Linked DNA regions of Lepisosteus oculatus. The protein of the gene in region 3 interacts with the protein of the main gene of each other region in a pairwise test. Links are inferred from orthologs where the notes say so. Each region holds a gene or a part of one and is shown on either strand. Other genes may lie near its edges. The genes, in order: atp5po, lamtor5, cep70 and znf366.

Region 1 (7,769 bases), on a different chromosome or scaffold from region 3:
TTTTATGCAAAGTTACTCATGAGACCTCACAATTTTTCAATTTACTTAATTACAATCTTCAGGAGGAACGTGGATATTGCCGTGAACCATGATTGACCACAGACACTAAAAATTAGTTATCATATTGCACTATAGCAATACCTACACTTGACTATAGTATGCCATGATGCAGTCCCACAGGATATGCAGTAAGATAGCTCTGTGGTAATGGAATCATGTTATATCTCTGTTGTACAGTAAATTATGTTTAAAAATGTAAATCTATACAGTAATGAATTTGAATTGCCTGATATTCCCAGTTTGCACAGTTAACATAGCATTTAATAGCAGCACAGCTGACACAAACGCTTTCATTCAGTGGCAGGAAATGTGGTTAAATGCGAAACAGGATTAAAGACAGCTTGGATCGTTTGACCCCCCTGTGGTGTCATTAAAATATTTTCCATACAGTGGTTGAACCATTCGTTACAGTGTGATTTATTTTTTTTCCAGTGGAAATGTCTTGCACTTGCACACAGCATTTTTGTTTGCCTTTGAAAGACTGTTGTTAATGGCTGGTGAATAATATGTCTCATTTGTCTTTGTTGAATTGAATAAATACTATCAGGCCTCAGGAATTTATTAATTCTTTAGGGTTCAGATCAAGACCAAGGTTGATCAAGACCAAGTTGGGGAAAGGGGGATTCCATAACCTGAGATTCCTTCTTTGAGTATATTTGCACAGTGTTTTATGCATATATAATTTTTAGGAATTCATATTCTAATAAATCTAATTGATTAATTATACATGTAAAATATTTGTATGTGTTATTTTCCTAAGATGATTCATAATTCATTTTTAATCAATAAATGAGTTGTTTACAATCGTATACTTTTCCAGAGGGAAGATGACTCACTGTACTTTACTCTGAATTCATATCAGTCTGCTGAAAAAGGAATTAGGTGTCCTCTTACACCCAGAAAGGCCAATGTGTTACTTACTAATCTAGCATCTGTACAATCAGATCAGGAATCACAGAGGAGATCTACTATCACTCAGTGGAAAAACGGAAAAGAGGTTTTTAAACGGGAAAATCTCTAATAGAGACTTTTAGCATTCCTTTCAAATTAAATATTTTTACAAGATTAAAAAGAGTAAAAAATAGTTTGAAATGTCCAAAACCTGCATGTCCACTCTGTGTCACTGGTAGCCTGTGCAGTTTTCAGAGGATGGGACTTATAGTTTGATGCAGAGTGTTTTCATTTAGCACATGAGCTTCAGCATTCTGGACATGCTAAAGCCTATTTAGCACCGTAGGAGATATCCTAGGAAGTTAATAATCTATAGAATCTACAGTGGTCTAATCCTGATGAGAAAAAGGCATACTATTACCAACGTTTCAGCATCAGAGAGCAAGGGCTATGCTGTGCAAGTAGGTAGAAGGTACCCACTTGGGTCCTACTGATACGTCTCCCTACTGTTTCTGAAAAGTCCAGCTCTTTTAAAGAATGAGCCTGACAACAGTTCTAATACATCAGGATATCACCCCTCACACAGGCCTGTGAAGGGCGTTAAAGGTTGTCACATTTGTCTTGTTGGCAAACCTTCTGAGACACACACTGAGGGCCCGGTCACACCCGCCCCTGCCATTCCCAAGGACGGTAGTGTCTTCCTGACAGGTAGGCCGAATTCCTTGTCCGTAGGTGTCGGAATATCATTGCCAGAAGGTTTTCTAATTAATGGATGTTTGTTGCAGTTTCATAAAGATTCAGTCTTTCTTCGGGATAGGAGAAAGGTATGCAGACCTTTTCACTGGGCCTTTGTTGACTCAACTCAAAGAGATGGATTCTTAAAAAAAAAAAGGTTCGAATATGATTGTGGACAAAAAAAACCTACAGTACTGCCCACAGTAGATCCAGCCAGTGGGAACTTTGATGTTCTTGGGTGCAGAGGCTCGCCATAATGGGGGTAGGTGAATCTGTACCTGTTTTATGGTTAATTTAAAATACAGTAAATAATAAAAGGTGAATCTTTCCCCAGTATGCTGTGCCAGCACTGGGGACCAGAAATTGTACCAACTTTCACATCTTTCCTTGGGAAACATGCTTTAAAAGCCAAATGTTTAGAAATTGAAACCCAGCAGACTTCATTATCATTAATGATAGATTCATCGCTGCCCACAATCTTTTCCACATTACTAGTGAGGGACGGATCAAAAACATCTGTTTGAGTTCACACAGCACCGTCTTTTACTTTCTTTCTTTTAACCAGATAATTCAGTTGATCATTTCTCATTTTCAATGAAGTCCCAGAGAGGCATTCAGGCAGCAAGACATTGATGATAACGGGGGTTTCCTTGTTCAAGGGTACAACTGCAGCTCTCCACCCCAGACACCAAAGAATTTTTTAACTCCATGGGTGGTGTTTACAGCTTCATTAATCCCTCTAGATACTGACAATAAACTCATGACTTCATTACAAAGTACCGGCCCAGTGACTGCTGCATAGGTCACAGAGTGAAAACATTTCTGTGGGACAACAGGTATCAGGAACCATGTTAACCTGAAATTTGCGCTGAATGGCCAGTGTCTCCCTTGTCCTTTTGGGCTTCCTCCTGTTGATCAAAGGTCCTTGTGTAGGCACTCGTTAATTCCCACACAGTTCAGACGTGACATGGAGGAAGTTGAGACAGGTCTAACTGGGCCTCAGGCTGAGAGGGGAGCTCTAGAACACATACACAATGCATCTTTACAGCTGTCTTTCTGCACACAGTCAGTTGGTGAATGAGTCCCAGGCAATTAGCTCTGCCCACACCCAAGACATTGCATGAACCTGTACACCCCTCCCCATCAATAATGAGTCCTGAGCTCTGAATCGATAAGGGCTTCATAGCCTTCACAGCCCCAGTAAGGGGTCACACAGAAGCCACAGCGACAGCAGAAAATGGAGGAGCAGTTAGCTCCATAGCACCCGGGAGGGGACTCAGACACCAGGGGCTCTACAGAGAGCAGCGAAGAAAAGCCCGAGCATTATCTTCCCTACCCCCATAACCGAAGTTCGCGTCCACCGGGACTGGAGAGGATGCCTAACATGGCAACCGAGTTTTTTTTCTTCATTTCTGCTCCCCTGGACACTGGGTTTTTGGTAACTAGGGTCCATGCGGTTCTGGTGCTGGCCTGGCATGTGTGTCCCCTGGAGACACCTTTTGTGAGTTATGTTCTGTTGGGTAGGCCTTGATACAATTTCCCTAATTTCTGGGTAATAAAAAGGGAAATTATGTAGAATGACTGTCTTGTCTTTTCTGAGGGGGGCGCCAGTGGTTCTGGGTGATAAAAAGAACCTGCTGCAGGGAAAAAAAAGGGCCTGGCATCCTTTGAAATAGCTAAATTGATAGAATTGGCATAGTCGGCTTCAAAAGCAGATATTTTTCCTGCATTTAGGGGTCACCCATCTGTGACACATGCAGTACTGTAAATTACAGCTGCGCACGATTAAATTAAAAATCCACTTACCTGACTGCACATAAACTTACTGTAGTACCGCCGGCACTTTTTTTTAACACACTGCGTCTGTGAAATGCTCGGAATCTAATGAAATTTAGATTCTTAGTACAAATAAAACATTTTCAGAAGATGACAAAGGAAGGTGGGGGGGATAATGATTCATCAAACCTGCACACAAACGTATAAAATGAAATAGTATCCCAAGTGCGTTCAGAGCCAAGGAGAATGTAGTATTTTTTCAAAGTAACAGGATACACGGTGGTACACGGGGGGGCTCAGTTTTAACAATGCGCTGTGAATGTAAACAGGACTGTATCACATGCGCTATATAACACAGCGTGGAAAATTCCACAAGGCGAGCCGCCTCGCTACTTGACAGCGTTCAACGCGACACCTGGAGGCGCTCCGAGCGACTGCTTTGCATCTCAGTGAAATTAACCGCGACGTGACAGTTTTAATGGGGCCGAGGTTGTTGGGTTTTTTTAGTGACGGGGTAAATGTCGCTTGGTGAAAACCTGTAGCGTGCTAGGAATCCGTGTATTACACACGCACTGACAAATCCTGCGAGACTCAGGCGGAATGGCTTTGACCCAGCAGCAAATTTACCTTCTGAAGAAGCCAGTCATGTTACGATGTCAGCAGGAACAGGTTAAGACTTCAGTCCCAAAATTCTGCAGTATTTTTTTTCCAGTCTAATTCTTTATAATTAAGACAAATAACATCTTTGGGCACATGAACTCAATATTTCCATGAGAGTGAGTTTCAAAACACATAAATATGCTTGTAGGTATAATGATAATCGAGTTGATTTGTTTTACATAACATAAAGCTATAGCAAAACACGTGTAAATCACACGTGAATAGTTTTAGAATAAAAAAGCTTTTGACTCGTTGGTGATTATATTTGATTTATCTTGTCACATGGGCTGTAAACCGGTTAGTGTGTCTGCTTACTTCAATCTACAGCACACAGTTGCGTTTCCTGTGAAACAGAAACTTGACCAAATACTAATACACACTAGCCCAATACCCAATCATGTACCAGTATTTTTGTTATGCGAGCATGTAATTTTCCATCGAGCATCGCACTCCGTTGCAAGCATACTGTTCGACCTGCGATGCAGAAAGTAATTTTCCACTGTACAGTCTGAGGCGGCGCTTGACTCAGTTTTAAGGAGGTAGTAATTTTCCACTGAACTGGAAAGCCTTAACTGCCCACTACATTTACCAGAAAGCTCTTCGATCACAGCACGATTGCGTTATAAACTACAGTAACCACAATTCCCTGTGTTTCCCAGCCACCCTACTTCCGTTCATGCGCTCTTGGTTTGACCTACACAGTAACAGGAGAAAATGGCAGCGGCAGGACTGGGGCAGCAGGTAGGACATTGAGAAATGTGGATTAACAGGACAGATAAATTCCTTAGGGACTGCGTTGAGTCCGTTTTCTGTAATCTATGGTGATGATAAATGCATATGGAGAGTGAAAGCAGTGCGGTTATTATTGCATGTGTTCAGATTATATTATAGTGAGACTACCACTATTTTTTATTCAGGCCTTGTGCATATGACAACCCGTGTTTTTACGTGTTAATTTGAGTGTACGGTTTTGTCTCCAGATGGATATACTGCTCCATCTAAAGATCAAACGCATATCACGTTTTGGAATAAACTGCCGAGGGTGTCGGCCTTCTCTGCAGTGCCCTTGTCGAAGAGTAAAGACACCCCCCCCCCTAAACCTAGACTAGAGGAACCCCCCTTTCTTACAGCAGTGGTTTCCTGAAATCCTAAGAATTAGATCTCCAAGTTAACGAGTTGTTGTAATTTTTCTTCTTTGCTTTTAATTATAAACGCAAGACCTTGAAAGATTTGATTCTTTGACTGCAGAAGTGGGACAGAAGCCATTTATGTAGGTTTTGTTTTTTCCAGGAAAATGTTTTTTGGCCTTGTGGACATCGCAGGGTTTATTTTATTTTTTTAAATGATGCAGGTAGTTCTTAATTTTAAGATCAGACCAGAGGATGATGAATAATTTAATAGGTGCTCTAATAGCTCTGTTTCATTCCTGCAGGTGCGCCTCTTCAGCACCACTGTAGTTAAGCCTGTTGCGAAGCTGGTTAAGGTAAGACTAGAGGCACAGTGATCTTAAGGAACATCTTGACAGACTCCCTTGACTGTTGAGTATCTGTGTTGTCTGATAGGACAGAAACACTACTTACTTACCTGACAGAGAGAGTTGGCCTAGACCTCTGTTAGTCACTTTGCCCAAAGCCACTTCTCACATCATGGAAGTGGATGGAAACTGAATAGAATTCAGAAAATGTTTTCAGTTTTTTTTTATTATTTATCCCGTGCTTCCACAAGCTGATTAAAGAGCGAGAATGCTGTCTCTGCTGAAAACTAACATTTTCATTGTTTTGGTTTTCACGTTTTAAAAAGTCAACATTTTCACCTGTCAGTTTAAGTAGTCACATGTGGTGTTGTGAGCATTGGATACAATGCTCGACAAATCACTTTCCCTGAGTCTGACTTCTAAAAGTAATATCACTTTTAATATCTTAAAAGTAAGTTTAAGAGAAACCTCTGAAAATTATGGGCTGCAAAGAGGTCTTCTACGTTTGGTTCTGTAGGGGTGCAGGGACTCTTATGATTTCTTGGCAACCCAGTCAACTGTTTGTCTCCCTTCTGTTCTCTCTGTCATGTACTCCCTCTTTGTAAATTTCCCAGACATTGTTAGTTACGGGCGGAGCGGTGGCTCTGTGGCTAAGGATCTGCGTCTGTGACTGGAAGGTTGCCGGTTCAAATCCGGCAGAGGAATCCTACTCAGTTGGGCCCCTGAGCAAGGCCCTTAACCCCAACTGCTCCAGGGGCGCCGTACAATGGCATACCCTGCGCTCTGACCCCAAGCTTCTCTCCCTGTCTGTGTCTCCTTGGAGAAAAGCTGGGGTATGCGAAAAGATGAATTCCTAATGCAAGAAATTGTATAGGGCTAATAAAGAAACATTATAAACATTACATTATTATAACATTATAGTGCGCTAAGCCTCTGTGAATTCAGGGTTAATGGCCTGGTCTGCACAGCCCGATCCTTTCAAACCGAAAGCCACCTAAGACACAAACTGAGCATCCCAGATTCAAAGTTCCTGTACTTGTGGAGTGTTCCTTTCTGAGGGCAGCTTGAGCAGTCCGTTTCAAAGGAGGAGGAATAGGGAGTATCCAGACAGCAGCTGACCCGTGTTCCCGTACTGGCGATGCTCTATTGTTTGAACGCCTTCTAGAAAGCCCCCACTGGGCAACACGCAGCTAACGCGGCCTCTTCCTCCAGCCGCCCATCCAAGTGTATGGTGTGGAGGGCCGCTACGCCACTGCCCTGTTCTCTGCCGCCTCCAAGCAGAAGAAGCTGGACCAAGTGGAGAGGGAGCTGGGTCGCGTCGCTGTAAGTCTCCTCTTCTCTTGCGCGCACGAGCAGACAGGACATGTGTGACACAGACACCAGCAAAGCAGCATTGTATGGTCTGACCTTGTGTGCTGCGCAGGGCCTGATGCAGATGCTCATGTAGCACCCTATTGGCTACGCCAAAGGATATGGAAGGCACTTGGGTACATTTGAAATGATATTATGTTGAGAAGTGCCCTTTTTACAATCATGGGTCATGAAGAGTCCATCAGGCGATCCACAGCGCATGCAGCTGGAGTGTGTGGGAAGCTGCATGAGATGATGGTTTGCTGTAGACTTTGGCTAATGGAAGGAATATATAAAGGAATATTAAAGGATGTGTTATGGATTGTTGGAAGACATGAGTGGAAGGCATTTGATCTAGTATCTAAACATGTCTTGGGGAAGATGGAAAGACTTAAATCAGTACAGACAGCAGGCTTCAGGAAGGTCAAGGCTGATAAAGTTGGCGGCACACTCCAGAAACAACTGCCTGCCTATGTTTTAATTTGGTTTTCAGTGTGGGGATTTAAATAATTAGGGGAGATGATTCTGGGGGCTCTGTACTCCTGACATTTCTTGCTGGTTTCTTTGAGCTGGGCAACAGATGTTTTTAATTGTAGTGCCTGTGGAGGTGTAAAGCTTATAACAGACACTTGGTTTATCCCACTTTTGTTTTAAATAATCTGTGATGTAAATAGGATACTGAGGAGATGTGAGTCTGATCTGTTTTTATAGATTGCGAGAACTTTAGATAATGCCTTTGTCACTTTCAGACAGCGTTAACCTACCCATGAAAGCTGCTGGTGACCTATAGTGTTAAAATATTTTAACAGCCCTATTTGTAATA
Region 2 (8,022 bases), on a different chromosome or scaffold from region 3:
TAGCAAAGCACAGCAGAAAACATGCTTAATGACAAAAAGAGTTCAAATCCTCTGCTAAGTGCCCAGTGTTTCTTTCATAAAAGTCATGATTCAAACCAACAAATCATAAAAATATGCCCTTCATTTCTATGATGTATGAGATTTTGCTACCTGTCCATTTGAAAGTTCCATTTTCTGCCACTGAATCTCCACCAATGGTGTGGTGGACAAAAACACATTTAAGGGTAACCTAGAACTTGTTTATTAAGACTGAAACTAGCAAATTGTTTTCCCAGCCCAGTGCTGGCCAGACTATGACATAGCTGTCATTTGCTTCAGTTTTCAGTAGCATGACCTCATGCTATGCACCTTTTGGCGACCTTGGGCAAAGTTCAGATCAGTTGAACTTATGAAACATTGTACTGTACCTATCAGGGAGGCAGCCAGCAGACATTCACCTTGAAAAGCTCGTGTACATACACAAGCATTCCAACAATCCCCAAACTATTTGTAACTAGTTGCTCATTAAAATGGAGGAGCTGAGCACAAATGACTGAGAAATGCAATGTCTAACTTTGTGTCTGAATGACTGACGCCATCCTTCTATGAAAACAAAGCAATATGTTACTAAACTGTTAACACAAGAAATTGTATTCCAATGGTCTCAACATTCAAATGCTTATTCAGTTGTTTTTTATCTTTATTGGAAGATGACCATTTGGAGTTTGTTATGCGCTTCATAAAAAAACAAAGAAAAGGGGGTGGGGAAACAAGTAAAGTGTTTTCTTGTTGCTTGAAAAATCAGGATGCCATCTTGTGCACAGCTACTGTAATGGTGCCATGTGTCCTTATTAAGATGTTCCTACAGAGAGAAGAGAAAGTGTCTTTCATAATTCAAGAATAAATAAACAAGGACTTTAGTTCCAGGAATAAATGACCCCAAGCATGAGATGAGAGAGGTTTAAACATCCTCTTTTACAACTAGTGCCATGGTGTCATAAGACCTGTTTAATGCCCAGTTCCTCAGAGCTTTGGAAAAAGAAAAACTTTGTAGATCTGAGACAGGCAGCTCCTGCAGTTTTCATTCGCCTCTGACATTTATTCATTTAAACAAATGAAATATTTTAGCCAAAAAAAAAATCCTATTGTTTTGGTCTTCCGTTGTTGAACGGTATAGCCCTTAAGGAGTGAAGTTCTCATCCCCACTGCAGAGTTTTCAGGGCGCTTTGTAAAACTCAGAGACAACTAACACCCCAGTTTCTTAGTTCAAATCCACAGGGTGGCAGTATAAGCAAAGAAGCAAATACAGAAAAAATCCCTTCTAACAGACACTGAACACAAGCATTTTGTACCTACAGTAGCATGCCTAGAGAGAAATGGAAAGAAAATGTGACAACATGTAGAAAGGTATAAGAAACGTTTTGCAATCATATAGAACATTAAGTAAGACGACTCTGCATAAATTAGGCAATGTAGTTGAACCGCACCAATGAGAAACGAGGCGTTTTTAAAGAACTGGGTGTAACTTAATGAAATAGTAAAAGCCGTGCACTTAACAAGCCCAATTGTTCAGCGAGGCAGAGTCAGAGCCTCCTGCCCCCTCTTACCCAGCATCCGACTCCAGGCACACCGTGGGGCAGTCAGTGTGGTCCGCTGTCAGCTGGGCCGCCTGCTTGGCCAGCACTGACACCACTCCGCCGTGCTCATCAGACAGCGTGCCGCGGCCTAATGGCAAGACAGGAGCAGCAGGAGAGGGCAGGTCAGAGCCGGCACACAGATACCTGAACCCTGTGTATTGAAACGACTGCGCCCCCCTTTTCGCCAACACTCAAAGTCACAGTTGTGAAGGCACTGCCGTGCTTGTGGAAGCTCCATTCGTGCGTGAACAGCAGCAAGGCCATCTGATCTCCGTGCTGAAGCTTCCCATTGGACTAATGTACCGTTCTGAAATTCAGGACTGCCCGTAGCTGCGACCCTCTCTCCTGGTCCTAGAGAGCTCCCTTTTTAAAGGGAACCCAATCCATACTCCTTCACTCTTCAATAAATGATTGATTTAATTTCGCAAGTAACAGCTCAAATGGAATGAAAACCAGAATCACAGGAAGCCTTCCAGAACACGAAGGAAGGACCACTTCTCTTTACTATATTTTTCATTCTGCAGGCATTACAGAAAACTCTATGCAACTGAACTCTTGAAAAAGGTGGTAAACTGTAAACAGATTAAGTAAATTAAGAAGCACTGCGGCTCTCCAGGACTCTGAAACAACAGGTAGTGGCAAAGCGATGTTTTCAACAAAGCAGCACAGCCCGTGGGACAGGTGTGTGTACTCACAGCCCAGGTTGTGGCCCTGCTGGTCAGTGCAGAGGATCCCCACGATGGCAGGGTTCTTCATTCTGACAGGCAGAAGACAGATTTGTTTCATTTAAAGAGCGCGTATGTACCCTGATATCGCTCAGAAAGTAAAACGTTTGAAGTCTTTCTCTGGCGACATTAGTGGTAAAGGCAGGCGATCAACTTTTGGGTCAACGAAAAATAGAAATACTATAAAAACAAATATTTAAATAAAGCCATATTGAAAGTAAACAAATACATTATTTTAACTCAGATAACTTGTTAGTGAATCCGTGGGTATCTATTTTTTTTCTTTCAATACTAGGGTATGAAAATGTAAAAAGGAACTACTTTAGTACCGTTTTTGGAATTAGCCAATTATGTTTAGAACGATTATATATTAAAATCGCTGTCTATGTATAATTTATATTTAAAAAGGTCAAATATTTTAGATAATTAATTATTCCAGATCGCGTTTGTTTTTTCCCCAAAGTAAAACACTTAAAAAGCGGATTATATTAAAAAAAAAACTCACGTATCATCTAGATGCTGTTCTAGTGTTGACTCCATTCTTTAAAGGCTCACAGTAACATAAATTACAAAAATAAAACAATGTAAATTGTGGAAAATACAGCACAGAGACGTTTTCCTCACTATGGGCAGCAGTCAGCTGACAGTTACACACGTGACTAATACCTTATACGGAAGCCCACAAGAGTCAAACCAGCGTAGCGATATATACGATTTAGACAAAAGTATTGAGTCAACCTCAGTGACCACGTAAGATGTAGTTTTTCATGTATTAAACATTAGAGACACTATTAAACATTAATCAGCTTTTTTCCTGCCATCCCATGGAGTGAAAAGTGAAAAAGTGTTATTATTATTTATAATTAATAATTAATTAATAATAATAATAATTGCTAGAATTGTTTAGAAAATCAGAAGGCGGCACTCTGCGCCACAAAGAATGACTCACTGAGGACTGTTGGCAGGGTATTTGGATGTGAACTCAAACTATGAACCTAGATGTTCCTAAACATGGCCATCTTCATTCATCAAGTTTGAAAGGGTGTTTAATAAATTCTGAGCTTTGGGAACAAACATTATAAAAATACAGTGGATGCACTAGAATACAAATGGTCTTGATTTGTTTTTTTTATTAAAATAATGAATTGAAGTGATTAAATTTAGAACAGTTCATCCCTATACTCTTAGAAATGATGACTGACACAGTAATGATGTTCCTCCATTATAACTTATGGTCTGATGAGGATGGTATATCTCACACTGCTATTAAATTAAACAAACCTATGAAGAGAAAAGGCATTACTTTCTTGTAAACATTTGGATGTTGGCATTAAGATTCATAAGATTCTTAAATTGCTTTCCATAGTACTTTCAGGTCTGCCACCCAAAATGTCCTACAAAATCAATTTCAAAGGTAACAGCAAGGTGACAATAACACTGTTCATCGCAGTTTATCAAGAGCTGACGTGAGTCTCAGATTAAGCTCTTACATTGTTTTATATTACATTCTCGGTATGAGTGTGGCTGTGCCAGTCGCCCAGGTTTTAGAGAGAACATCATTTGTGCCTACAACTCTGTGTGAGTAGTGCAGTGTCCTGGCCCACAGAGCGCTGATAAATAACCCTGAATTAGTCATGGAGGAGTGATTCAGACCTAATCAGCCCTTGGCTTCATTAATTTCCCTGCGAGGAAGAATTATGGATTGAAATTGGAATCAGGCCAGCTGTCAAAGTCATTGATCAGGGAGCACAGAGATCTCTATTCTTGTATTCAGCTCCCACTCTCCTCACATGCCCAGCTGTGGATTGAGCAATGCAAACTGGTCACTGTACACAGGGGAGCTTCAGCCGTATGACCATCGTACTGGTCGCTGTAGTTACAAACACAAAACAAATCATGATAATAGTAATAAAAAAGTTTTATTTTCCTCAGAAAATACCATTTTAGTTATTTTCCCCATTTTATATTGGAATAAAACAATTCAGGTTTGATTTCCTTAAGCATTACTACTATACATTTTAATGTTTTTCCTATGCCTGTTTTTTTAATACATATCATGAAGGCAATGTCACAGTATCTTTATTAGTGTAAAGTACAAATGAATGAATGTACCATGTATAAAGTATATCATTTAACCTACAGGATATTGTAAACATATTAATATGGTAATCATCTTCCTGTGTTTCAAATATGCACAGTACATGTGTAATAGCGTTTCACTTGTGTGTTGTTAAATCAATTTTTCACTCATTATAGACTATTTTTCTCAGCTTCATAACATGCCTGATCATGGACTAATGCACCATACAGAGCCTTTCTCAGATGAGCTTTTTGACATTAACAGTCTTTAACATTAAATACTGGATGGACCCATAATGGAAAGGTGAAGAAGTGATGCAAACTGGATGAACTCACCAGCCCTCTCTTCTGCGGTATCATGGGGATTCCTTTCTAATTTGCAGTAATGATACCATATCTCGTTATAGTAAGGTCAGCCACAACTAGAATTAATTATTTTCCACGCATCTACCCTTAAATGGGAATGCAATACAGCATACAGCATCTATCTCAAGTCTGGCTATTTTTAGTCACACTGAAAGTGCATTGTATTTCATCTAATAAAAAGGATTACAAAAGTCCTCATCAGGGCATTTTACCGAAAATACCATCCAAGCTTCTGCACTTTTAGATATAACCTTGTTACAAAAAGGCAAGCATACATAATAAAGATGTTATCTACTGGGATTCATTATACTCAGCTTCTTTCCTAGAAAAGCAAAGGAGTTGTTATGTACAGGGATTTTATCAGAGCTAACCCATCCATCCCTACATGATTAAGATTCAGGACTACTAGAACTGTCCGCCCTTGGAGACAGTCAGTCTATTCCTGACTACACATTTTGAGAGGGAGATTCTTGCCTGAACTACATTCCCCAGAAGGCAGTAGGGGTAACTTGCCATCCTCAGTCAGCTGACTATTTGAAGGATGACAATTGGTCAGGTTCTGTTTAAAAACACAGAAGAGGAGTGGCATCCAATGACCATTGACCTCTACCAGCTCGAGATTTAGCAGAGCTTGAGCCAGGGAAAGAATAGAGCCTGGAAGGAAGTGAGACTGTTATTTGAAAACCACCTGAGAATTAGGTTTGGCATATGAAGGTGATGAAAGGGGAAGGTGATCTGCCCTTGATCAACTGTAGCAATTCAGGGTGTTTTGGAGGGATGGGAGGTTGTGCAATATTTAATAATGGAATTTGCCTTTCAAAGATCTTACATGGCAGTGCTTGGAAACACCAGGAGCTGTCAACAATTGACTTTCTCCAGGACAAATTTCTCAAGCCAGTCTACAGGCCCTTACTGATTTCGCAAAAAGCTGTCTTTGTTGTGATTTTCGTCTTTAGAGTCCCTTGTTAATCTGTGGGTTCAGGCAATAACATGGACTTTTTGAAACAACAGATGTGTAGAAAATGAAAGATCTCCATCCTGTTCGATTTGTAAATGTAATTAAAACAGTAGTATTTAGCATTTCTGCTATGGAGTTGAAGCAGACTTTTTTTCCAAACGACAAAGAAAAATGAGTTGATCACAAAGATGTCTCAGTGATTATTTCAAATTTCTTCTAAATTCTTGTTTCTCTCTCCAGTTTTCTTTTTAACACAAACTTTTTTGCACTTTGTTGAACTCTTTCTGAATGTGTCCTAAGCCAATTAAAGATGCAGTATAAAGGATGTTATGGGGGGGAGGAACAGTTAACTTCTGATTTTATTTTTAAGCTAGGAACAGAGATTTAAAAACCTGAATTCATCCTGTACCAACCACACTTGTGCACGTAATAGTTGAGGAGTTTTACTAAGCTCTGCTTTCTGATTTTCATAAATATGGATTTCTTCAGTGCTGTACCAGGATTCCCCTGTTATAACTAATGCAGACCCACTTTATTCAGACGTACCACCATCTGCTTGGCCCTTCCTCAGGTCAGCAGTTCACTGCAAGACCACCGATAACAGCATTGCCACGCGATCTTCTTTACAGATTCTCATCTCTTGTGAGTTCAGTCTTTTGAAAAGAGCAGCTCTATTTTAAGCATTGGTGGGAGTGCTGTCTGAAACTGCCTTGTGTCATGGTTTCAAATGGATGAAACTCCTTATCGCGAATCTATGCTGTACAATAGGTCACCAACAGATGCACCATATATCCAGAGATGGTGACTCGGGTTCTTTTGTGTTGATACTGGAAAGTCTTTTTATTGCAGTCCGACAGGTTTAGCTGGGCTGTTTCAGCTTCACACAGCTCTTGGTGGCAGGATGGTTTGTTTTACCTTATCTACCCATAACGTTTCTTGTCTATGCCATGTTGGAAGAAATAATGCAAATTATTTTCATTCAAGAATTTATGACAAGTGTTTAGAGTTTAATGTTTGTATCCATGTCTGTTTTCTGAATCTTGTGTCAAATGTTTAAAGATTGCAAACATTTTCTTACAAATGACTTCCTCACATCCACAGGGTGCTCTGGTTTCCTCTCACATTTCAAAGGCCTACTAGTGGGTTAACTGGCTTGTGGGTAAGCTGGCCGTGGTGTGAGTGTGTGCATGTCTGTGTCTGTCTGTGTCTGTCTGTGCCCTGCGATGGACTGGTGTTCCGTCCAGGGTGTGCCCTTGTTTGTGCCCATTGCTTGCCAGGATAGCCTCTGGCTCCTCCACAAAACCAAATTGCATTAAGCACTTCTTTTTAAAAAGATGAGTATTGAGGTTAGTCAAGTACTGTAGAAAAACCCAAAACCCAAAACTAGTGAGGCTAACTACCATATCATTCTAATGCAGCTCAAACTGACACCAAGTATTCTTTGCAGCATGAGGTGATCAGAAAAACAGATACATTATGGCATTCAAACCACAGGTTTTCCATCCAGGATCATAGCTGAGGTGAGTGAAGGTTCCTAGTTACAAATCCAGGGGGTAAGATCTTAATTTTCATTGTTGTCTCTCTACCAACCAGTGACCTTTCTTTAAGACATTGTTATTAATTAACTAATGGAACATCTGCTCATTCTACTTAGTCTGCAATTAGTTGAGAGACAGGACTGAGCCATCTATCATCAGAGGCTCCAGAATTTTCTCCTGGTTCATAGTGTTAAGCAGGTTGTTACGGCTATTTACGATGCATCTTCTGAATCTCTGAAGGGAGAGATTAGTGCTGTTTCATGTAAAGAATAAAGCAGTCTTCATGTCATAACACTTACAAATACAGTCAGATTAAAACTAGAGTAGTTCAAAATATCCTCTTTTTTGTTGAAAATACTGAGGACAGGTTTTCATTATTTGAGTTATGAATAGTGTATGAATTATTAATTTATTCCTAAAACCACTAATGGAGGTAAATTCATTTACTCTTCTTCTTATTATAAAACTTTGAGATAATAATAATTGCATTTGTATAGAGTTTCTTCTACCCTAAAGGACTTCATAAACAGTACATGTGAGGGGACCCACTTCATCCACTTCTGAAGTACAGCCCCCACCAGGGTGACGCAGAGCAGCCATTCTGCCCCAGCTGCCCCCCTTCACTGATTGAAATAAGGGGAACTTTAGGGAGACCAGATCAGGCCCATAGTAACTCCGGAGTTAAAAAGACAAACATTGCCACGTGTTTTTTAATGTTCTTTAATGTTTCGTTTTAATGA
Region 3 (7,319 bases):
AAAACGGTCCTTAAAACAACGCTCTTTAATTAGGAGCAGTGAGTGCGGGATCTTAAGATGATCAAGACTTATCAACGAGCTACAAATAGACGCACGGCGACCAAATGCCCAGTAGACACGTGTAAAATACTGTATAACACCTTTTTAACACGAAAAGAAGATCTGCGTGATCAAATTTAAACACAATCGTCAATTTTAGTTTTTAATCCTAAAAAGTTTAAAACTCTACTGCTGCATTCTTCCAGGGCAAATTATAATCCTTTTTTTACATAAATGACGTTTCTGTTCGTTAGTTTAGTGGCACAATCAACTGGTTTCAGATGGTTATATTTTTAAAGAAAATGCATTTAATTACAATCCGCGGTTTGAATTCAGAAATTGTTAATCTACACCGCAAAACACTGCCGAGTCACGTCATCTGCCTGCTGTACATACACGGAGGTTTATATGGGGCTGCTAGTGCCGAAGGACGTGATCTTCTATTTGGTAATATTTTTAAAGTTTTTTTGTATCATTTACTCCCGTCTGTCTGATTTCTGTTTTGTGTTGTTACGCAAAATACCGATAAAAGGACACAGATCTGAACAAATTGCCAGATTTAAGAAATGAATCCTACTAACAACTTGACGTGGTTCTCCACGTTTGCAATTTCTACTACTAGTTTCTACAAAGAATAAATTGCATTTACAAGTCTCAAAATCACGATGAAATAGTTTATTGCACCTTACCTGCTGCTTAACGCAGGTATTAAACTGATTCTTGCAACAGACGAGAATACCGTCACTATGGAAACGCAATGCAACCTAGTGTACAGTTAACTGTGCAATTTACACATTAGCGTGTCAAAATCGTGTCGGTAATCTAACATGAATAATACGATTACGCATTATTTCTGTTACCTTTTGTGTCTAAATATGTATGTGAATTCGGTTTAAAATGTTCTATTCACTCTTCACACACACCAAGAAGGCACAAAACAACGCAAACCTCGCAGTGACGTCACTGCAAGGCTTGTAAGATCTCTGCGTTCCTCGCGATATTACGTTAACAAACCTGCCTTTCTTCCTACCCGAATTCCTGAGAGTTATTTCACATATCTATGGTAGCGACACGCGATTGTCCAGACGTCCCGGAAAACTCGCAGTCCCTCAGGATGTAGCCAATCGCAGACGTCCCTCCTCTGAAACCACACCTTCTGCCCCCGCCCAAAAGGGGCGTGTCAATAAACGGATTCGGGTGGGAATAAATGATATTCCGTGGCCCGAGATTTTCTTGAAAGTATTAACATATTATGAACTATATGAGTATCGGTTTCACCAATGTTTCCGATTTCACCATTTATTAGGAAACAGAAACAATTTCACAAAGTTCAGTACCAATGCCATACAGTCACGCACGACTGCATGTCGAGATTAGTTAGTGTTGTGAAAAGGCACTTATCAATTTTTCTATGCATGCATGTGGAAATTTTTTTCCCCAGTACGTATCAATTATATTTTGTTCTAGTTGCTTCTGGAATTGGGAAGCAATTTTCTCCCAACATTTTGGTATTTAATTATTCCCCAAGCCCTGCCTGCCTCAGTGCTGGAAAAGTACTGTTTGTGTCACCAGTGGACCTGCAGAAAGTTAGTTTCCAAATATACAGCATAACTCCCCCATCGAATAAAAGCGGATTTATTAAGAAATAGAAAAAATGACTACATTTAACATTGTTGTGCACCGTTGACACGCAAGAGGAGCAAACAACAGTCTCAGCAGATTGACAAATAACTGTCCCGCACAGAGCGCGCGGGGGCTGCGGTTTGCACACGTGTTTGAGTTCCCTCCTTTGATAGGCCGCTGTAGTCCGTCAATCACATTCCTCTAGCCAATTACCTCTCGGGGTGGAGGGATGGGGCGGGCCATCGCCATTCCGTACTCTCCTATTGGTTGAATTCCAGGGAAGTTTCGCTTTACTTAGCCGCCGCTGTGTATTTCAAACCGTCTCGAGCCCGCATGTAAAAGTAAGATTGCACCCAGAGGGTTGCAGGAACGCAATACAAATATTTCTTAAGATTAAAGGGGGGTATCAAAACACTGTTCCATCATAATAATAGGATATTTATGAAAACAAGATTGCTGCCCAACATACAGGTAAGGTTACGAGCCTTTCAGCTACCCTGCTTTTAACGGCTTCTGACCGCTTTTGTATTTCATTTATCCACGTTTTTAAAACAAGTGTGCGCGACAGCTAGTTTTAAAATGACAACGCACAAGACGCCGCTTGGCCGTGCGAGTACGGGGTGCTGAGGCTGTCCCTCTGGCGCCTACTTCCGCAGCGTCTTGTTTAGCAGTTTCCCCACAAACCTCGGCTGAGAAAGCGTCTTATGTAGCGAGTCTGTTTCTGCGACTAGAGGTTGTTCAGTAATAATGGAGGCTGCACAACCCTCCGTATCTCAAGCCATAAATTGAAATCCATCCCAAATAACCAAGCGATTCACCGAGTAATGCTCGTCAATATCAACGAGTGGCTGTTCAGCCTGCCGTTCTTGCCCGGCTGCCGAAACCAGCGGTGTGAGGGGTCTCGTTCAGGCGGTTCTGGCAGAAACCAGGGTACCGGCTGCAATTACAGGGGTGTGCATCTTGCTCCAGACTCCCAGACAGTCCTCTCCTGTGAAGAAGTGCACTTTCTCTCCGTTCCCACTCGTACCTTCATGCTCATCTCTTCTAGGGCGGCCTTCCCTGCCTGTTTTTAAAGCAGATGCACCCGTGGCGCGAGATGAATTATTAAATTGGTGCAATTAAGTCGTTAGCTAGCAGACGGTTAGGTCATCAAGAGTGGAGTTGGAACAAGGATCTGTAGAAACGTCGGCCACCATAAGAGCAGTATTGGACAGCCTTGACCCAGCTGTCTTTCTCAACCCATTTCGGAGAGGCAGTATTTATAAGAGGGTTTGTAATACCGTTACCAAAACTATATATAATATTCTAAATACGGTTTTATGAATGCAATATATAATTATATTGATCTTAGAGTAGAACAAAATAAAAAAAGAAAGAATTAAAGTAACAGCTGAAGTAAGGGAAATATGCTAAGATTATACCATAATGTAATAGAAGATTCATGTTTGAATTTTATTCACATGCTGTTCTTCATGTGCACTGCATTAAAGCCAGGTGCAAGCTTTATGTATGTTTGGTTCCCAGCCATCCTGGTTTTCTTTCCAGATGAGCTCAACAGCCGATGAATTAGTTGATCTGCTTTCTTGTTTAGACTTGTATCTTGTTTCATAGGTTGGTTTTGCATGTTAGTTACACCCTATGTACTCTGTTTCCAATACTTCAACACACAGAACTTTATGCTGCCTCTTCTTATTTCTGACTAAACAGCTCTAATTTATCGATCACCTGATGATCAACAGACACAGGTGGGAATTACACTATCAGACTCGCCCACAGGTGAGAAGGACACTATCAGACATATACTGGGCATGACATTGCATCAGATATATCCATTGTTGGATTGCCTCTTTATTGAACATCCCCCCAATGGGCGTGGTCACTGTATCAGACACCCCCACAACACCAGTTTTTTCCCTCTGCAGTTCATAACAGTTCAGGCAGCACACCTGAATGATGGCTGTTCTAAAATTCAGAAACAGGCACTGGTTACATTTGACCTTTTCTGATTTGAAAGTAAATTTACAAACATGCCACAAACCAAAAAGTGAAATCAACTAGCCTGTAGAGTGAAGCAAAACCCAAGAAGACTGATGCTCCAGGACCGGGGCTGCAAACCAGTGGCCTAGAAAGCAGGGCAGTTCAGCATGAGGCTCAGTCCAGTCCAGTCCAGTCCAGTCCAGTATACTGCACTCCATGTCAGGTTTCTCTCCAGCCAGCTGTTTAAGGATGTGATTGACAATCATCAGTAAAACAGCTGAGGTGCTGGTTAGTCTGAAGGACTGCAGTGGAGTGGATTGACATTTTCAGTTGAATTTGAAAGATCATGACCTGTATCTGTTCTTGTTGGCTTACATCACCCATTGTGGCAGACGTCTGAAAGAAGGGACATGCTCTTTATCAGCCTTAACTTCACAGTAGGGGTTGACAACCCAGGTCCCAGTGTGCCATGAGTCTGACTGGGTTCCATTTCAAAGTCATTAAGGCCTTAATGACTTCCTTAAGTGTATAAGAAGCCCAGTCAGCTGTATTTTCCAGGTGTTAAGTGAAAGATTACTTTCAAACCTGCAGGAACCTGAAACTGCAGGACCAGCTTTGGGCTGTGTGGGCTCAGTGAAAATAGGTCGTTTTTCATGCTTTGTTTGTATTTGTAGTACCTTGTGAAGAAGACTAGACTCCGTATCCCACAGGCATGGCTCATCAGAGCTCGGGTAAGTTAATAAAAAGGACTGTGTCACCTTGAGAACATTTTTCTCTTCCATACACGTATCTGAAAACCAAAATGTTGTAGCAAAACAACTACACTATAAGGGCATGTAAAATAGTGGACTGCAGTACAAAATGCAGCACTCAATACTATTGTTTACCTGAGGGGACTTCTCTCCATCATTAGAAAGCTGCTGATTCTGTTCCGTGCTGCGAATGCCACACGTTACACTTGCAGACACAGACGTTACAACGTAGACACGCGTGTTGTTCATGCAGACACATACGATCCACACACAGATGCGTACGTGATACACACAGACACACGTTAGCCCATCCTGCCTGCCTTTGGAAGGAGGAAGGATACCACAGCATGCGGAGAAAGTTGTTAAGTTTAAGAATCCTTTCTTTTTCTTACAGGTCAAGAAGTGGACAATGAGCAGGTCAGATATTGGTTTATCCCGTGAATAAAATGAGGGAAGGCAGCAGCTGGACGGTGAGGCTGCTCCTGAGCTGACAGTGCTTGCTCTCTGCTCCCATTCAGAGCTCCTGCCGGGGGGCAGTCACCTGTAACCTGACGCCCGGCCCGGCCGGGTGAGGCTGCAGTAGGAAGGAGGGGAGGGGGGCGGCCGCTGCAGACGCAGACAGAGCACCCCGCCGCGGCTTCAGGAGACAGGGCAGCGGCCGGGGAGTCCTGGAGAGAAAAGAGCTGGGCAGGGGCTTCACAGGGCTGGTCCTGTGAGGCGCGGCGGGTCGGAGGATGAGCGCGTTACAGCAGAAGGACAGGACCTATGTTTATGTGTGGACCTGCAGCCAGTTTCAGGTACAGGACGCGCCCCAAGCACAGCTCCAGGGATTTCCTTAACGTTCCCCTGGGATTGAGCACTGGGAAGCAGTTTCTCCCTTTTCTGTGGATCGAAAGGTCATGCCTTTCAGGGTGTAAGCGGATCCTGTTCCCTTACAATGATGAACTGAAGGGAAACCGGTTTATTTTGTTGTTACCGAGCCTTGCTCCGGGAACGTTTTCACTGTGTGTGGGAGAGCCGTCCTGCTTTCTTCATGGACCCTCGTCATTTAGACCTGCGCTCGGTCTGACCCGATTTCGGATTTCCTGTGTGTGCGTGTGGTAAGAGGTGTCGATGTTGGCGTGCCCACAGCTGCGCGGCTCCCCGTTCTGATTGATTTCCTGAGCGGCTGTTTTCTCCGCACTGTGCAGCAGGAGCAGCTGGAATGGGAGGCAGTGAACCGGATACTCCAGCACCACGGGTTCAAGCCCATTCACTTCGCAGACCCCATGGAAAACAAGAACCTATCAGGTGCGGCACAGTCGTGCGGGTCGATGCAATGTCTGCATCATCCTGCAAAATCGTTAACGGAGCCTCTCGTCATATGGGAATGGGAACTGTTTTAGCAGGTGCATGACTGTTTGGCATAAAATATCGAATGGTTCCGTGCTCATTTGTGTCTTTCGTTTATACATTTCTGGACTGACACAAGGTTTTAAGTATGCTTTTGTTGTTTGATGCTCATGTTCAGATATGTGAACCCAGATTGCTTTATAAATTGATTTCAGATTTGAGGTCACGGAGCCTATACACTAAAGAAGCGAGAAGTGTGAAGCTTCAGAAAGAGGCTGTGTTGTAATTTTGTCTGGCATGTGCGTAGTGCTTACACAGTGCCTGGCTGAAATGCAATAGTATCGAGGCAGAGTTAAAAATGATAATATGTAATACAATTACTTCTGTAGCTTAGTAATGCAGCTCAGTTTTGTAATCACAAAGATCAGTGTATTTTTTATTTTTTGGTATCATTAAGCTCATTCATTGTCTCACGTGGCTCAGCTGTGCTGCTCAGCTGCGATACAAACATGACCGCTATTGTTTGCTTCTGTTATTATTCCACTGTTACTATGGTACCTCAAGGAGCTCCGTGTTTCTAAGGTTTTGCATTGTTTTCTGCACCTGGAGCTTGAATTAACAACCTCCCTGCTCCATCTAGACATCCTAAACCCCCTGTGGCTTCGGAGTCACCTGGCCTTTGCAGGGGTTTACTGTCAAACCCCACCTCTTGTGTTCCAAGAATCCTTCATCTCCATCTCTGTCAATTGCGTGTTGCATGAAGAAGCTATTCTCATGTTTAATTTGACATTTCTTCTCTTTCAGATCTGGTTCTGTTGGAGAAAAGGTCTGCTTCCGAAGTGAGGCTGGCTCTGAAGACACTGTTAAAGGACACCGAGAGGAGACAGGCCTTGATCCAGGAGCTGATTCAGACTAACAATCAGCTGAAGTAATTCCCATTCTCATTTCTCTTTGACTTCAGCGCAGGTTTCCGTTCTGTACCCACATTGGCTGAGAGTGTTTATAATGAGACATCAGCGCCCTCACCCCCAAACACTTGGGGTTTAGTAAAGGAGGACAAAACCTGTATTTGAGTATCTGAATTGGATTCAAATCAAGGGATTCCAGGGGTTAAACTATATCATGACCCAGCGCAGACCTATTTTTAAATCTGTGTCCATTTGTCCTCAACACCACACTATAGAAACGACATACGTGGGTCTGGAGGTGCCAGACATTCTGAAAAGTTAGTTTTTGAAAACCAACATATTGCCAACACCATGAATAAATGAAATCTCTTTGCACTGGGGAAGAAGGAAGCCCATGAAGTAGGACCACAGTTTCAAACGTTACTCTGAAAGCAGACACAGAACTCCCAGCAAAGACTCTGGTCTGTATAAAGGAAGGTGACTGGAGGCTTCTGGGAGTCTTGCCTTTTAAAGGCCTGTGCTTTGAATGCAGGACGGGAATGGCGATTGTATTTTAGCTGTGTGGGGAAAATCCCACTGGATGTCAAGTCCGGTCCCTGAGCCGCTCGGCCTTCGGGCACGGAGGTGAGAGGGTACTTGTTGGAATCCCAGCGAGCACTGGGGCCGGGAGCCGAGTGAGCACAGAACT
Region 4 (6,828 bases), on a different chromosome or scaffold from region 3:
TTTTGTAATGTGTAATAAATTGTTGAAACAACTTTTAATCTTTAAAAATAATCTTTGTGTTTTTGTACAAAGAGGTCCCTTGATACCTACTGAATTTTTCATTTAACTAATGTATTAGTTAGGGTCTAGTAGAGGTTAATTCTGTGCTGAAGCGTACTGTAGAAGCACATTAGATAGCAGCAACTGAAGAGGCTGAGTAGGGAACTGTGTTAGCCTATGAGCTGCAAAGATACAAGTAAAGCTTAATTCCTTGCTGAAAAGTAGAAAGAAGAAATTGTTTCACCTGAAGAAGTACTATATCTTTAAATGAGAAAAAAAACAAAGAGAGGGATCAGGAATACGAAGCAAAGTCATTAGTAATATAGGTCTTTCTATATTCATGTGTCAAATTAACCTCTGGGTATTCCTTGCATTTTGCACAATGACACCATTGTCATGGTGTCATTGGCAGCTCCCTACTCAAATGTATTAGTTAGGTACACAAACAAGCAACGTTCTTTAAAGGTAAGTAGTATGCAACAAACATCAGGCATTTTCTTGAATTTGTATTCTCCTTGAACTCAATTATGAATCTTGTTCTTTGAGGCATATTACAAACAGGGACTCTAATTTCCCAAATGTTCTGTCACTTGGGCTTTGAACACATGTAAGCTAGAGGCAGTTTCCAAAACAACCTAATGATTGTTCGCAGATGAGACAGTACAGCTGATAGAAAAAGTGATAAGGCAGAACTATAATCTATCTGATATTGCTTTCAAATTCAATAATAAATCAAAATGGTGTCATAAGTTTGGATTAGTGGTCAATTGTACATCATTGGTGTCCATTGGGATGTTGCTGTGGTACATGTAATTTATCCTACAGTAGATGTGTTTGAAATGCTTCACATAATGAAACACTGTGGACCCAAGAGTCATCGGAAGACTAATTTGAATATGAGTCATGTGGCAAACCAATTTGAACTATTTAAAACTATAGTTTTGTGAGTGTCAGGTCTTGCATACAGTAGCAGCCTCATAAGGTGCCTCATATTTTCCTTTTACCTCATTTGGAATAAAAGTGCACCTAAGGATGAAAGGATGTTACAGCTTGCATCCTTACAGCTTTTTAAAATTAGAATGGATCTGCCTTCTATGGAAATATGATTCTTCTGTCCTTCCCTGAGTTGTCTGGCACTGGAGAAAACAATGTTTAAAAGTGAACTTTGCCTTTCCTGTCTGTCTTCAGCAGCTGAAACAGTTGATTACAGTTTGACAGCACCTTCAAGTAGTACAGTATTTGTGCCATTTGAATTTTTCTGCTGTTAAATTTCTTCCTTCTCAAATGCAACTCAAGTCATTGTTTAATTCATGAGCACAATCATGATAATCAGGACACCTGATGCAAATTGTGTTTACTGGAAAGAGACCTGTGTATCTTTCTTACTCTTGCTTACCCCATTCACTTGCTTTAGTCTAAGAGGGTTTTGGCTTGAAATTCTGGTGAAACATAACAGTAAGATATTTTACTAAGATGACACAGAGTGGGAGAGGAAACAAAAAATGAAACAGGGTGAAAGAAAGAAATGATTAACAAAAACTGCAGACACAGTGTTTCCAGTCTTTTGGGACACCAAAGAGGGACATGTTCAATTTTATATCTACATTTTATATCTATCTAGTGAATTAAATGATTGTTTAAAAGCTAGTCTAGAATATTGCATAGCCTTTTCTCACACTCAAATGCAAATAAATAAAAATATTATATTCATATTTAATTTGAAAAGCAATGAGTTATAATACAAAAGGAATTTAAAATGTCATCCTTACGTAAACCAGCTATTTGATCAAAAAGTTCAACACCAGTCTAAGGAAGTGCACACGTTTGTTACTTTTATAGTTTTGAGTGGAAGAAGACAAATACTTCTTTGAACTCTGACCTGGCTTCCAGGATTTCCCTGGAGCTCCACACCTCGTAGCTGTATTGTCTTTTTAACACAGAAGTTACTGCCACTGATGGCGACACTTTTAAAGCAGCTGAAAAGGAGTTCACTCCCCTTTAATAATAAATAATTGCAAAACATTCCAAGGCATTTCAAATCAAATCTTAATATTACATTTCCAAAGCAGTTCAAAGCAGTATTGTTATTTGTGACTTCTGGGGGAAAAGGTGCTAGGTGTTAAATTAAAATTACATTCTAGAAAAAGCTTTTGCTTACTTCAACATATAATGCATGCATTAAGGCTGTGCCTGTTCCTTTGCACAAGCAGGTGCATTTACTTACATTTTACTGTGTAAAAGAACATGCTTGTGTGATGTCTTTATGAAAGGGCTTGCATTATCTAAGGAAATATACAAAATAGTTAATATTGTTGCAGAATGTCTTTATTTTAATTTTTACTAGTTTTTAAACAAAACATTTTTAACTGTAATATATTTGTATTGTCAGGTGTAATAATTTCATTTTATGTTTTTCTGTTTTTTAAATAAAAAAATCACTTTAAAATATAGGAAAAATGAATTAATTTACTGTACAGCAGCCTGGGAGATAAGAGATAACATGTCCTCTAAGGCATGGGTTCACAGTTCTGGTCCCATTGATTTGTAGTCCAGATTAGTGTTCAGTTACATGACAACACTTAAGTTACATTCAAAAAAATAATTTTAACTCAACAATCATCATCAATGTCTTAGGCATGCTGGATGTTGCCTTTTCAGTGTTGCGTTTCAAACTACCTTAACATCTCCAACTTTCGAGTAGAAAAAATTCATTTAAGAGTTTCATTAAGTAGAGAGCTCAGCTGGAACCAGCAGGTGTATACAGTAGTTCCCAGGACCAGGGCTTTGCTGTAAGTCACCAGTGACAGTCCATCAGATTTGTGCTCTATGACCCAGAAATGCAGACAGAAGATCATTTAACCAAGCTGAACAAAGCATATGATGTCTCCCACTTAATGCAACAAATGACACTGATGCACAGAAAACTGCAAATGTGATGGCCGACACAGCAAACCGGACAGACAGTGTTGTATCATCTCATTGGAGACAACTAGAGACAGAGCACCTTTCAGGCTTCAGCAAACTGCATGGACTCATTAAGAGATATTAAGAGCACAGGCAGGTCATGATCCTTATGCCTGCACTCTGCATTAGTCATGTCCAGCTTCAATGTCTGATTGGCAAAATCTTTGAAACTCTTTTTTCACAATGGTTTATAATCATGAGATATGTTACAATGCAGCATACTGAACAATATCTAAAGAACATCACCCTCTGGCTTTCTTAGTGTTTTGGTGCAGAACTAAAGCAAAACAAAACCTGAACAAGACCAGAGATCGTTAACATCTCACTGCAGCTACTGTAAATACCTGGGTACTGGCAATATGGTAATAAACTGCCTCATTTAATACACCACATAATAAGGTGTTGCATATGAAATAAATTGAGTTCAGAAAAGACTGAAAGACCTTTAAATGTTTAAAGGTTTAAATGATCTTTGTTCATGCAGTATATTAGTTCCTCTTTATTTAGGAATGTGCAGTAGATGGGTATATGAAACAATGATTTTTTTCTTGATTATCATAATCATTAGTGGTCAAAACTTGCTTAATAAGAGTGTATAAACTGGAGGCAACAATGCATACCCCATTTCTTTTTCCTGAAGTCAGATAAATCTGTATTTCTAAGAGAAATGGAGATGGCTATCTGGAGTTTCCTTATTTTTTCTCAGGAAGGCAAAGGCTTGTTGACTTCCTCTCCCCTCCCTTCCTTCCTTCTTTCCGAAGGTACTCATCTGAAAAATGAGAACAAAGTGATTGTTCCTGTTCTCTTTCTTAAGGCACTTCAAACACTGTCACTACTTCTGCCTTTTCAGTGTAGAGAGCCCCACAAATAGCAGGTATACAGTGGAGAGGAGAGCAACAGTCAGTCACTCAGCCGCAAGCCCTGGTGAGTCATGTGGATCTGGATCACTGTTCAATGTGCTTCTGCTTTTAGATAAAGAAATGCTGGGTGAATCTTAAATATATCAATTCCATTTAATAACATTGTAAATGTAATATATTCTTGCATGTGAATGCACAATAAGCTTTCTTTTTTGCATGGTTCTCTGTCGGTGAATATGTGTAAATGATGAGGGACATTGTTCAACGTGCTCTTACTACGTCTGCAGCGGTTTGAAACATGATCATATCAATAGGGCCCAATTGTGTTTGCTGAAGGATGTGTCTGTGCAAGAAGTATATTGGGGAAGATGAAGAGAGGACCTGGAGCAAACAAAATATTTGGGAGAAAGTGATTGCATAAAAATGGGATGATGTAAAATGACATGCCTATGCAAATGTAAAATCTAGTTACTTTTTGCTTAAATGGCATGTAGCTTCCCCTGCACCAAATTATTTACAGTTAACAAAGTTTATGATACCTGGTTTGTGCATGGTTTTCTGACGTCCCAGCATCCTCACTCCTAGTGCTGTGGTAGAAAAGCTTCTTTGTGCTCTTAAATATAAAGCCAAGAAAAAGTATTGCACAGTTTCTTTGCGTATGCACTGTCTGTGTTTCAGAAATCATTGGTAACTTAATTTTGTATAAAGAACACTGTCAGTCTTATTTTATTTTTGTAAATCTTTTACAAAAGCTTTTAATCTTTTATATTTTCAGCTATAACAAGCAAAAACATTGATTAATGAGAAAACATACAAATGTTGATCTGGCCTGTTTCAAAATGAGTTAGCTATGTGATGTTTGATCTTGAATGATGGAAATGCAAATTGTGCCAAAAGTGCAACAACTGTAAATCTAATTTTACAATTAGATATGATACTGGTTGCTTTTAAAAAAATAGGCCTAGATCCTAAGTACTATACAAGAATTCTAAGTTTCTCAGCAGAATCACTTTTGCACAAATAGTCACACGCATTAAAAGGTGCTAAAATGTAATTTTGCAGCGTAACTTTTCTCCTAACTGCTTTAAATAGTTTTGGAGAAATTGTTAGTAATAGTCCATTTTTGCACTCACCACTGAAAAAGCACCCTTTCATTTAGTATTCTTAATACCAGTTACATGTAATTACTATTTATCTACCTGAGCAACTGCAGTAGGGTGTAATTACTTACTGCTGTTAGTCTTCTGGTATAACTTCTTAGCCACACTGTAAAATCTAAGAAAGGGTAGAAGTCAGGGAAGACCATATATAATTGTCAACATCAGCATCACTAAGATTAGTCTTTCCCTCAATAGCTCACTACTCACAATATGATGTGGCAGTTTGTTGCATACCTCAGCTTCACATGTGAAGAAATTATCTGTGGACTTCATGTTCTAAAGTTTGAAGCTGAGCTTCATTACTATTTTTGGAATCCTTCTGGTTTCTGTGCTCTCAGTTAATTCAAGTGCTGTACATATACAGTATTGTATAAATGTGTACAAATTAAATGTAAGTGAGAGAAATGTAATGATTTTGACCACACATATCAAAGTACCAGTACTCTATATCATAAAACTGTAATTATGGAAGCAGTGCGTCATCCTGTATTAATTTACAAGCCTTAGAGTTGTGCCAGTTTTTTTTTCCACTGCTGATTTTTGAGGAACTATTTCTACGTTTTTTTTATTTACTTGACTGATGCTTGTAACCAAATAGATCAGTTTCAGAGATTATAATTAATATTTTCTTCCATGCATGTTTTGGTCCCATGTTTCACTGCTGAGGTTGTAGGAGCAATCTGGGTAAAGTAAACTCATTCAAGAATGCAACATCGGTGTCTTCTCTTGGGATTTGACCTTACAACGTCTGTTCAGGAGTTCTAAAAACTCCTGGCCAATAAGGACAAAATGAAAACAAACATTTTTTTCTACATTGACAAAACTACTGTTCATACTAATAATAAGAACGTTTTTATTATTGAGAATATTTAAATAATAACTCATCTGTTGACCAATGTTGTCATTTTCACGTTTTACTACAGTGCCCTGTGCGCTATTTAACCATATGATGTTCAAGGGATGTTGCCTATTGTTCTGAGGTCCATTGATGACAAGTTACATTAACTGACATCATTAAGCATCTATTTCCTATTCAGCTTTGTGTTCTGGAAATTCCTTTTTCTGGAATAGTTAATTCAGTGCATGAATAAACATCTAATGCAGTCACTTCCATTTTTTTGGAAGAAAGTTACAGAATGCATACAAAATGTAAAGACAGCAAATCATTCTGTAGTATCATTAGGTTTTTTGCAGGAAAAATTGATAGTTCACTTAAGAAAATCCAACAATCTAAACCATATGGGACATCCTTGTTTTAGTTAGTTTAAGCATCTGGTGCATTAACGGTGTGTACTGTGTCTGGAAGTTGTTGAAGATACAATTTGGATATTGCTGACCTAACATTTGTCTGTCCAGGATGTAAGACACAGTGCAGCTTGATTTCCGAAAATCCTTTTCCTGATGTACAGTACCTTAATCCTCCAGTTAGATGGAAATTCAAGAACACAAGTTTTCACAGTTTCACAGTGGATTTCTAACAACGGGAAGGATTTCAAAGTTGTTCTAATTGTGTTTTGTAATTAGCATCTGTTGTTTACTATGGGGCAGCATGCTGGCTCACTGTGGCATTGCTGCCTCATAGCGCTGGGGCCCCTGGTTCAACTCCGGACATGGAGCACCACCTGCATGGACTTTGTACGTTCTCCCCATGTTTGTGTGGTTTTACTCCAGGTGCTCTGGTTTTCTCCTACAGTTCTGCCAAATTTGCCCCGGTGTGAATGTGTGCATGTCTGTCTGTTTCTGTTTGTCTGTCCTGCCATAGGCTGGTGTCCGGTCCAGGGTGTATCCAGCCTTTGTGTTCCTTG

What was found.
Region 1: the proteins of cep70 (region 3) and atp5po interact in binary tests that used the Homo sapiens proteins (3 or more experiments, as listed by UniProt). The two-hybrid records come from large-scale screens. The link is inferred for Lepisosteus oculatus from reciprocal best matches to the Homo sapiens genes CEP70 and ATP5PO.
Region 2: the proteins of cep70 (region 3) and lamtor5 interact in binary tests that used the Homo sapiens proteins (3 or more experiments, as listed by UniProt). The two-hybrid records come from large-scale screens. The link is inferred for Lepisosteus oculatus from reciprocal best matches to the Homo sapiens genes CEP70 and LAMTOR5.
Region 4: the proteins of cep70 (region 3) and znf366 interact in binary tests that used the Homo sapiens proteins (3 or more experiments, as listed by UniProt). The link is inferred for Lepisosteus oculatus from reciprocal best matches to the Homo sapiens genes CEP70 and ZNF366.

What each region holds. Positions count from the first base shown.
Region 1 is NC_090710.1:18,233,966-18,241,734, forward strand, and holds the start of atp5po (ATP synthase subunit O, mitochondrial), read left to right. Parts: upstream 1-4,767; 5' UTR 4,768-4,836; coding exon 4,837-4,863; intron 4,864-5,554; coding exon 5,555-5,605; intron 5,606-6,808; coding exon 6,809-6,919; intron 6,920-7,769. UniProt on the Homo sapiens protein: Subunit OSCP, of the mitochondrial membrane ATP synthase complex (F(1)F(0) ATP synthase or Complex V) that produces ATP from ADP in the presence of a proton gradient across the membrane which is generated by electron transport complexes of the respiratory chain.
Region 2 is NC_090700.1:37,465,821-37,473,842, forward strand, and holds the start of lamtor5 (ragulator complex protein LAMTOR5), read right to left. Parts: upstream 3,003-8,022; 5' UTR 2,882-3,002; coding exon 2,847-2,881; intron 2,374-2,846; coding exon 2,312-2,373; intron 1,705-2,311; coding exon 1,587-1,704; intron 842-1,586; coding exon 781-841; 3' UTR 1-780. UniProt on the Homo sapiens protein: As part of the Ragulator complex it is involved in amino acid sensing and activation of mTORC1, a signaling complex promoting cell growth in response to growth factors, energy levels, and amino acids.
Region 3 is NC_090707.1:6,583,093-6,590,411, reverse strand, and holds the start of cep70 (centrosomal protein of 70 kDa), read left to right. Parts: upstream 1-4,311; 5' UTR 4,312-4,351; coding exon of another isoform or gene 4,352-4,370; intron 4,371-4,785; coding exon of another isoform or gene 4,786-4,808; exon of another isoform or gene 4,809-4,837; coding exon of another isoform or gene 4,838-4,861; intron 4,862-4,909; 5' UTR 4,910-5,125; coding exon 5,126-5,188; intron 5,189-5,581; coding exon 5,582-5,681; intron 5,682-6,527; coding exon 6,528-6,651; intron 6,652-7,319.
Region 4 is NC_090698.1:24,357,534-24,364,361, reverse strand, and holds the start of znf366 (zinc finger protein 366), read left to right. Parts: upstream 1-3,808; 5' UTR 3,809-3,927; intron 3,928-6,828. UniProt on the Homo sapiens protein: Has transcriptional repression activity. Acts as a corepressor of ESR1; the function seems to involve CTBP1 and histone deacetylases.